Schizosaccharomyces pombe: one gene and its partner. The gene in region 2 interacts genetically with the main gene of each other region. Each region holds a gene or a part of one and is shown on either strand. Other genes may lie near its edges.

Evidence for each region.
Region 1: of lsb6 (region 2) and efr3, changing one enhances a phenotype caused by changing the other (phenotypic enhancement), as found in Schizosaccharomyces pombe (one study listed by BioGRID).

What each region holds. Positions count from the first base shown.
Region 1 is NC_003421.2:263,722-268,541, forward strand, and holds efr3 (protein efr3), read left to right. Parts: upstream 1-1,666; 5' UTR 1,667-1,723; coding exon 1,724-1,923; intron 1,924-1,963; coding exon 1,964-4,160; 3' UTR 4,161-4,285; downstream 4,286-4,820. Other genes in the region: dihydrolipoamide S-acetyltransferase E2 Lat1, read left to right, coding at 1-678; tef101 (translation elongation factor EF-1 alpha Ef1a-a), read right to left, coding at 4,376-4,820.
Region 2 is NC_003424.3:1,679,809-1,684,992, reverse strand, and holds lsb6 (1-phosphatidylinositol 4-kinase Lsb6), read right to left. Parts: upstream 3,229-5,184; 5' UTR 3,041-3,228; coding exon 1,166-3,040; 3' UTR 526-1,165; downstream 1-525. Other genes in the region: SUMO-targeted ubiquitin-protein ligase subunit Rfp2, read right to left, coding at 3,909-4,504, 4,558-4,579; wdr70 (WD repeat-containing protein), read left to right, coding at 5,025-5,184.

The DNA.
Region 1 (4,820 bases), on a different chromosome or scaffold from region 2:
CCTTTAAGCAACATGCGTAAGATCATTGCTTCTCGTCTTGCAGAAAGTAAAAACATGAACCCTCATTACTACGTTACGGTCTCGGTTAACATGGAAAAAATCATTCGCCTCCGTGCTGCCCTCAACGCCATGGCTGATGGACGCTATAAGCTTTCGGTTAACGACCTTGTTATCAAAGCTACTACTGCTGCTTTGAGGCAAGTTCCCGAAGTTAATGCGGCTTGGATGGGTGACTTTATTCGTCAATATAAGAACGTCGATATTTCTATGGCTGTTGCTACACCTTCTGGTTTAATCACTCCTGTAATTCGCAATACTCATGCACTCGGTCTTGCAGAAATTTCCACTTTAGCTAAGGATTATGGCCAACGTGCCCGTAACAACAAATTGAAGCCTGAGGAATATCAAGGAGGCACATTCACCATCTCTAATTTGGGTATGTTCCCTGTTGATCAATTCACTGCTATCATCAATCCTCCTCAAGCCTGTATCCTTGCTGTGGGAACCACTGTTGATACAGTTGTTCCTGATTCAACCTCTGAAAAGGGCTTTAAGGTTGCCCCCATAATGAAATGCACTCTTAGTTCCGATCATCGTGTTGTTGATGGTGCTATGGCTGCTCGATTTACCACCGCCCTAAAAAAGATCTTGGAAAATCCATTGGAGATTATGCTTTAAAATAAAGCAAAAGTCGGGTTGCTCATACTATCATGCAATTATTTTGTCAATAAAGGTGTTTACTCAGGTTATGTTTTCGGAGCTTTAACAGGAGCTTACGATCAATCGTTGTAGGTAGATTGAGCATTCTTTGTTTCTTGTATACATTTACTACTACAATTGGCTGTTTGAAAAAACGATTTTATTTACTAAGTGACTTTGTTCCGTTTCTGTCTTATAATACTTTGCTTGCTTTGCAAGCTTATAATTTTCCTTCCTATGTTTATTAAATATTACTTTTGTTTAGAATTAATAATACTTAAGTAATCTTGTTGATATCGTTAGTATTGACGGCAGGAAGCGCAATAATAGCTACGTTAAGTGCTGTTGGGTATGTAAATTATTGTTGTTTTATTCAATATATTTCAATAGATTGTTGCTTAGTAAGTGATAACCGACATCCCTTGTTTTAAACCAGTTCAAATGTTCGTTTGCAAATGGATATCTTTAATAATGTCTATTGGCATCAAAATCTGGCTTCTTAATTCATAAAAGAGATTTAAAGATATAGGGAATGTTTAAGTTTTAGAGAATATGAGCATGTTCGGTAAGAAAAACTTTCAGGAAAGGTAAGCAGGAATAAGGATATAAGGCATGTTCTATAACCTTTGATAAAGTCATTTAAATATTCGAAAGTTGTTTTCGCAGTAAACGCTTTATTTATGGCTCATGAGTCATTTCTCAATAACAAGATCATTTACATATGTCTGTAAACTCATTAATCTTCAGATCAGTTATTTTTGGTGGCGTGTTCCACTTAAGATAGCAGTTTGCACTAAATAATTAACTGAATTATACGGATCACTTTTCTATTTTTTGTGTTTAGAGGATACCGGTAGACACATTTACTCAAAATAAGCTTACACAAGCGACTCGTTTAAAGTTACCTTAATACGTCATTTTTAATACGTGAAGCTATATATTGATTTTGATCATCGTACTACTCAGAAGTATCCGTTAACCAACTAAAATTGCTGTCCATGTGATAGCCAGTTTTTTAGGTCCTATGTGGTTACTATTTCGTTCTAAGCATAAGAAGTTAGTCCTTCGATGTTTTCCTTCGGGGAAACTAGGAGAAACGGAACCGAATGGGTCACCTCTAGCATACCTAAGTTATTATGCTGCATCCAATTCGAGTAAACTGAGAAAAGTGGCTCATTTTTTAGGGAGTCGTGTTCGTCATAGCTATTATCATAAACGTGATAAGTAAGTTCCTGTTTTAGGCTCTATTTCTAAATGTTTTTAGTGAGGTTATTATCGGATTGAAAATATGCAAAACATTGGTTCAAAAATGTCGGGATAACATCAACGTGATGGCCTCCGAAGTTGTAAATATGCTCCTTGTTGCTAGTTCGTCAAAAAATTTAGAAGTTTTGTCTGCCTGCGTTGATTGTTTTGCTACGTTTTGCGATAATAGTGGAAAGGGGAGTCCTGCCACTTTTGGCAACGAATTCCATTCTGCTTTTAATAACTTAGTCAATTCATTTTTTGAATTATCAAAAGGTATTGATTGTGTTGATCCTCAGCAGTCGAAAATGCTTGGCCTGAAAGCATTCCATGCTTTAACCGCATGCAAGTTTGCTGGAACTGAAGGCGGAATGCGTTATCAACCTCATTTTGCTATACATTGCGTTTTGATTAATTCTTGGAGTGAATCAGATCAGGAGAAGAAGTCATTTATTGATTTGGTTCGTTCCACGGCTAAATCATATAAGCCATTGCCTCCTAGTAGTACTGGTGTTTCATTACCCGAGCATGATGAAGCGGGTGATAATATAGATGTTGCCATTAAGAAGTTATGTATTAGAATTTTGTTCAACATATATACTCAGACAGATCCTCTGTTTATGGCCGAAAGTACGAAGTCCTTGATACATTTTTTTGCAGCAAAATCCGACACTCCGGTAAATCTAGAATACATATCTGTCGTGCTTAACCAAATTTTGGATTGGACTCCTGTTGAACTTCGACATTCGATCTTTTTCTGTTGTCTTCGTTGTTTATCAAGTTCTCGTATTGTCAACTCTGAAACTAATGTGATGGTGCCATACATGATTTACTCCATTCTTAACTCGAAAAACTCAATTTCTGGCTTATCCGTTATTGACGTGTTACGTGATTTGGGGTCGCATCTTATCAACGCTGTCAATTCATTCGATGCTGATGACCAAACTTGGTATAATATGTGTGAATCTCCATCGGAAAAGCTCCCTAGGCGCCTTTATTTACTTTTGGTTTGTATCACCTGTTTAACTAAGCATCAATATTACGATGAAGAATTTGCTGATGTATGGCGAGAAATCGACACTCTTGCTAATTCTGAAACTTCTTCTGCTATACAAATGGTAGCTTTAACAGCTTTTCATAAGCTGCAAAATGAAAAGCTAAATACAAAAAAAGAATCCAGTGCTCCTCTCTCTTTAGTTACCGACTTTTTGTTGCATAGCTGGCCCAAATCCGCTGAACGTCTTCACACTTCCCAGTCACCTTTTGTACGAATAAAAACTGCTGAGGTGTTCTACGAATTTTTGTGCTTTCTCCGTCCATCTTTAATAAATTTCGATACTATTTTACGGAAAAGTGCAATCACATCATTTTCTGTATTATGGGATTTTATATATGAAACCAGTTGGCATATTGAACGTTGGCTCAAGGTGTTTTCGGTGCAGTCTGAATTTTATATTCTAAAACTCATCATCCAAAGGCTTTACCAGCTTTATGGTCCAGTTTCTGTAACAGCGGTATTACCTGCTATGTATCGCGGACTACGACCCTTTGAAAATGATCCTCCTCGCTGTATTGCCGAGGCGGTTACTGCTTATTATATCATCTATATTGGAGAGAATTTGAAGATCACAACTCTTCAGTCAAGTGGACGAAAGTGGCTTGATTCATTATCTAGCTCATTACCTTCGAGTCTCTTGAACAGAGGTTCTTCTACGCATTCTTGGGAGAAACTAACAAATGCCTCTACCGAGGAAGTCATGTTGCCTTTGGACATGGTTGTAAATGAATTATTGGAGAAAAGCCCGAAAGTATTCCCAGAGGACTCTAGACTACTATTTGCTGAGCAATCGCGACACCCCAAGTACACCGATATTATTCAAAAATTAAAGAAACCGTCTCGCGAAAAGTCTTTTACTTCTTCTTCAGAATATTCACTTCCATTTATATCACCGGCTTCGGATTACCAACAAAATCCTTTACTTCATGCTACCAAGTCGCTCGTTTCTATTCACCAGCAATCACAACGTGGAGAAATGGTTAGCACATTGAAACAGGCTCTATCAAGGCCACACACTGCTAGTACTGTCGTACGTTCTCCGTCGGAAATAAATCTTACAAGACAAACGAGCAACCGTGTACCTCTGCTTGATATGTTGAATCTTAATCGTGCTATGTCTCCGACACCTATTCAAAGTCCTCCATATGTACGCACTTAGTTCTACATATACATATTTTGCACTTAAAAAATGAAAAAAAGAATTATCGTTGCAAATCTATATTTAACCATGCAATTTAAATTTCAATTCCTAAGTTATAAGTAAATTTAATTACTGAGTAGTATACCAAATTATATTAATCAACAATATAACATTCACTAGCCTATCCTGATTACAACAACTCAAGATCTACTTAAATCCGAAGTAAAAAATGTTTACTTCTTGGCGCCAGCCTTAACAGCGGCCTTAGTGACCTTAGCGGCACCAGGGGCAACCTTCTCAACGGCCTTGATGACACCGACAGCGACGGTTTGACGCATGTCACGGACAGCGAAACGACCAAGAGGAGCGTAGTCAGTGAAAGCTTCAACACACATAGGCTTGGAAGGAACCATCTTAGCAATGCAAGCATCACCAGACTTGACAAACTTGGGGGACTCCTCAATCTTCTTACCGGAACGACGGTCAATCTTCTCAATGAGCTCAGCGAACTTGCAAGCAATGTGAGCAGTGTGGCAATCCAAAACAGGAGAGTAACCAGCAGAGATTTGACCGGGGTGGTTAAGAATGATGACTTGAGCGGTGAAGCTAGCACAACCCATGGGAGGATCGTTCTTGGAGTCACCACAGACGTTACCACGGCGAATATCCTTGACGGAA
Region 2 (5,184 bases):
CAAAAAATTAGACAGGTTACAACAACAGAAAAAAAAAACATATAATAAAAATCCTCGTAATTTAGGACATAAGTAGGAATTTCACAGTATTTCCCAAACACTGTTATATCTAAGTCCTTTAATCAATTTGTTGCCTCAAATGAAGAATCCAGCTCCAAAATCGAGGACTGTGTCAAAGAAATCAATTATTAGAAATGAAAAGTAGATCCTAAAGACTTGAAGGGAAAAAGGGACAGTAAGGAAATTCACTGTTTGTCTACTAACAATATAAACCTAAGAAATCAATGAAAGAAATTCATGCAACAGAAACAAAGGTTTTGTTAGAAAGTTTTTAAGTAGTATTATTTCAGCCACAATATGGAATTTATAAATTTTCGTTTAATTTTTTGATTATGGTTGGTTCGCACTAGACGTAAGGGCTGAGCTTGAATAGCCTCAACTTCGCCTTACTGAGCTGCCTGAATATCAACGTACAAATGTGGCAGCTTAGCAAGGATAACAGTTTACACTAACATTTTTTATTTTCTTCATAACCATTTGCTTTGTTTTATATTCGAAATAAATTATTGATAATAAGGATGTAACAAAACTTCATACATTAAAAATTGGTGTTCATTTCAACCTTAATGTTTGAAACAAACGTTAAATTGATATCGAAAAGCACGTAAGCGTTTTTGCAATGTTTAAACATATTTGATTGTAAACAGGCTTAAGAAATAGCACATTTTTTCCAATCATTCACAAGCAGTAGATCCTAATACTTAATGAATTGAACATTTTTGAATAATAATCTAGGAAAGAATCGCAAACGCAAAGCAATTATAAACTCAAACAGAACTAATTATGGGTAGAATAAACACAAAAAAAAGAGAGTAAACTGTAGCTAAAAATATAATAAATTTTGTTATCAATGGACAATTATGAGGATTTCAGGTAATGTCGGATTTGTATGGTAAAAAAATTAAATTCCTCAATTATGATTAGAGACCTTCATGTTAACCGCTAACATCAAACTAATATTAATAAAATAGAATGAAGTAGCAATAAAATGATGGAAAAATTAAATTAACAAGGAACTTAGAAAGAACAGGCGAGAAAATAACATATGATACCTTCAAAGACTTAATCCTCGGAAATAGTAGCATACTATTACACAAGACTTATATTAACACGTGCTAAAGACCGCATTGGAAGAAGCACACTGGAGTCTTTCAAAAATTACATCCTTTAACATTTTTGGAGATGAACTATCTTTGGACAACAGGGTAATATAATTTAACGGCAGAAGTGCTTCAGCATTTGACGAAAAAGACCGACCGGGTGTCGCTTGTAATAATTGGCTTCCTGGATAAGGAGGGAAAGTTTGTGAACATGAAGGGTGCAAAATACTCCCATAATCTCGTTTAATTGGTAAACCAAATTCTGCTTCTTCAGAATTCGCAGACGTTGGCTCATTTACTTCGATACGAACAACATCCTCAACAACATATAAATTAGGGAGCTCAAGTAAATCATAAATATTCATGAGGGGATTCTTTAAAACTTCAACAATATTGTAGGCTTGCCCTTTTACAAGTGAAAGTTGCCGCGAAAACATTTTCTCATCGAAATCTAAATCTTGATTGAATACGTTTCGTAAATCATCACTTAGTTTTTCCCACCATTCTCGGCTAGTCAACTTGTGTAAAAAGAGTTGCCTGGTAAACTCTGTAAAAGGTTGCGTAAATAAGGAGCGTGGTAAAGAGAGCCAACCATAAGGAAAGGACCTCCAAGAATCCGGATGTTTATAAGGGAATGCTAACGAATTATCTATCGCTCCTATTTGAAAATGTGGTCCCTTCCAAAAATCCGACGTTTGGGAAATAGCAGGGTCTACCGAGTTCGCAGACATATTAGGTGTTAAATTCGTAGATAAAAGATTAATTGATTTATAATATTCTTCATTATCACAGGGTTCGTAACAAATCTTGATCATCCAGTTATCCAAATTACGATCTGTATTACGCATTAAATAATCGAGCAAAACAAGTTTTTCAAATTCAAACCGGAATTTAAGGCGTAATTCTTCGGTCCAAAATTCGGTCTCAATTTCGTTCTCAGCTAAGAAAGGATCGAAAATGTCGAAGTCCTCGCTGGAAGCTACAGACTCCGTGTACTCTCGGGTTTCTCTATGTCGAGTACCAGGCCAGGGATGTTGAGCAAAAAACTTGGATGCAACGACGAAACCATCAAGAAACTGCTGAAAAGATCCAGTCTTTTCAGGAAGAGGCTTATTCCTTGTCAGAAAAGCTTTTCGTGCAAAATAATCATAATTGAAGGTTGGAGAAGAAATTGATGCAACAGACGTGTATGGAACTAAATACAAACCCAGACCTCTATCTAGAACACAAGCAGCGGCTTCTGAAAGATACGAAGTATTCGGAATTAGACAACTTCTCCCAAAAAAGCAAGGAAATAAATTTCGATGGAACCATTTCGTCCATTTAGGATTTAGCTTTCCATACGGTTCTTCATCTTTGGGTTTAAATACAGCTATATTTTTTTGGACTTTATTTTTCACAAAATAAGATCCAGAGGACCCCTTGGAAATAAGGACCGGGAAAACGCCGTGGGCGATTGCTTCCTTTGTAGCATCAAGGAGTCGAACGTAGTCTTTATAATCATATCCAGCGTAATGGGGGTATTCCTCCCAATGCTTTTCTGCATGCAAAACCCAAGAAGGAGCCATGAACACTGAATAGTAAACTCGGGGTTTTGAGATTGATTCAGACTTTCGTCTTCTTGCTTGCAAAGACTTGCTTAATTTGTTAGCCCATTGACCAAATTTTGACTGGGTAACTAGCCCTTTTAAGCTTCCAAAGACTTCATTTCCCTCATTTTCGTCTGGAAGAAGAAGACTCGACGAAGACGAACTGTTTGACGAAGCCCATCCATCCCTTAACGATTCTAAGGGATTGGTCTGTTCCTCATTAGTGTTTAAACTATTTTCCTGATAATTTGGAAAAGAATCGAGAGTATCTGAATGGAATGTCGATTCCATAACGCCCTGTGCAAGTACAGCACAAAAGCAAGAATCAACGAAACTCGGCTTTTTTAAAATAAAACTCTAGAATGACCGAAACGGAAAAGTGATACTATGATATTAATGAGCGTGTCAAATCACTGCTAACGTATCTCTTTCCCTAAATTGCCTAGCAAAGTCTCTGTTTTTACACTTGGAACATGGTTAGCACTTGAATCAACTGCTCATAATCTTTGCTGCAATGAGTAACGTAATGTAGCACACTGTGGGTTTAGTACGTTAAGCAGTATATATATATTATATATACAATGTTTAAATACTTGAATCGATTAGATACTGTAAATTATAAACAAACATTACTGTATATTTGAAATTCAGAAAAAACTCTTTCAGGAAACTCCCTTGAATATACTAAGATTTTTAGCTGAAGAATATTTTAATTTGCAGTAAATAAATAAATTCAACATGAAATTGAACATTACGAGAATTCCTAGTATCCCAAATAATACTCATCTAAATAGTGTATTGAAAAGATTGAATCCAGATTTGTTTTTTGTAGAAGGTTTTAGGGTAAGAAAAGCTCTAATTAATTTCCCTTGTACGAAAAATGATGAATCAATATAGAAAGAAAAGCAATTGTTTTTGTGTGATAGCCTCGAAGACGGGAATAAATAATTGAAAAAAGGGGAAATAATCGTCAATAATGAATAAATCTTTTCATTGAGGATAATAGAGCACCTTAGTTCTTATAAGCATTACAAAAACTCGTATCCTTTAAAACCATTACTGGTTATTAAAGCAAAACAAAACGTTCCAAAAAATCGCCAGCGTATTACTTAACCGCCAAATATCCTCTATGGATAACACTTAGTATCCAATCGATAAATTATAAATATAAAGGAAATATAAATTTTTTGGTTATACGCTTTCTACAATGTTGCACCGGACAAGGCACAGTCTTCTTGCGTAACTCTTTTGCACAAGTAGAACAAAATAAGTGTCCACACTTTGCAGCAAAAATGGATTTTTTCTCATCACTTACTAACTCATTTCCACATTTTGCGCATGCAATATTATTATGAGGATGGACATCATAACAAAACCCAGGTGGAGGAGATACCCTTTCGGCGATAGAATTTGATGAATCCTGAGCTTTTTTTCTTGAATTTCGAAACCCATTTTCAAGAAGGGTTCTCCGTTGGGTTTGAGACCTGTTTCTAGTCCTTCGTGCACCATAGAATATCCCCCCTCCAACAGCCACGGGAGGTCGAGTGACTGGAGAAGGAATAGAATTAATAGTTGGAACATTAGAAAGATTAGCGTCAAGGTGGTTACGGCTTGTACGAATCCTTCGACGAGGCTGGAACTCTGGTATTCTCGTTAAATCTAGCAAAGTAACTTCTGAAACATCCGCACCGTCATCTTCTATATCTTCGGTTAGGTCAATAACCTCAGGGCTTAACCTCTGATCCCTTCCTGGTACTAGAAACGTGTAGACGTTAACATATATTCTATAAACCGAAATTTTCACTTACATTCTAGTCCATGCAGATTCATACAACACAAAGCATAAACCTTTATTAAATCCCAAAGCAATTATAATCTTATCAGTTTTTTTTAATGCAACTTGTAGGTAAAATCGATCAACCCCGTGAAATTCAAATGATTCGGCATCACTGTGTGTTGAAGAAAAAGAATATGCACACTGCTATAAATCTTTATTTTTAGAGCGGCAACGAAAATATGTACTCCTCGTAAGCTTCAATGTAATCTTCTTAGGAGATAAATCAATTAGCAAAGCCTAAATCGCTAACTTGGGTAGAATGAAGTACGTAGTGCTGCCACACCCCACAACTCAGTAATTGAAACTTCTCACCCTGCACTTTTCGTTACAAAATATTTTGAACAACTTGTTGTCAGTTAGTTAAATGGCTATTTGAAAAAAATAATAGGGAAACAATATATCAGCCTCTAAAATTTTACAATATCCAGATTTTCGTAAATGGATGGCACAAATAATACAATTCCCTTACAGTTTGGCAAGCAAGCACAAACATACGATATAAATGCGTTAATTGCAAGATTCATAAGACCGAAAGAAAGCTTTTTGATAAACAGTGTAGAAAAAGAATCCGAATCAAAACTCAACTCAAAGAGTACTA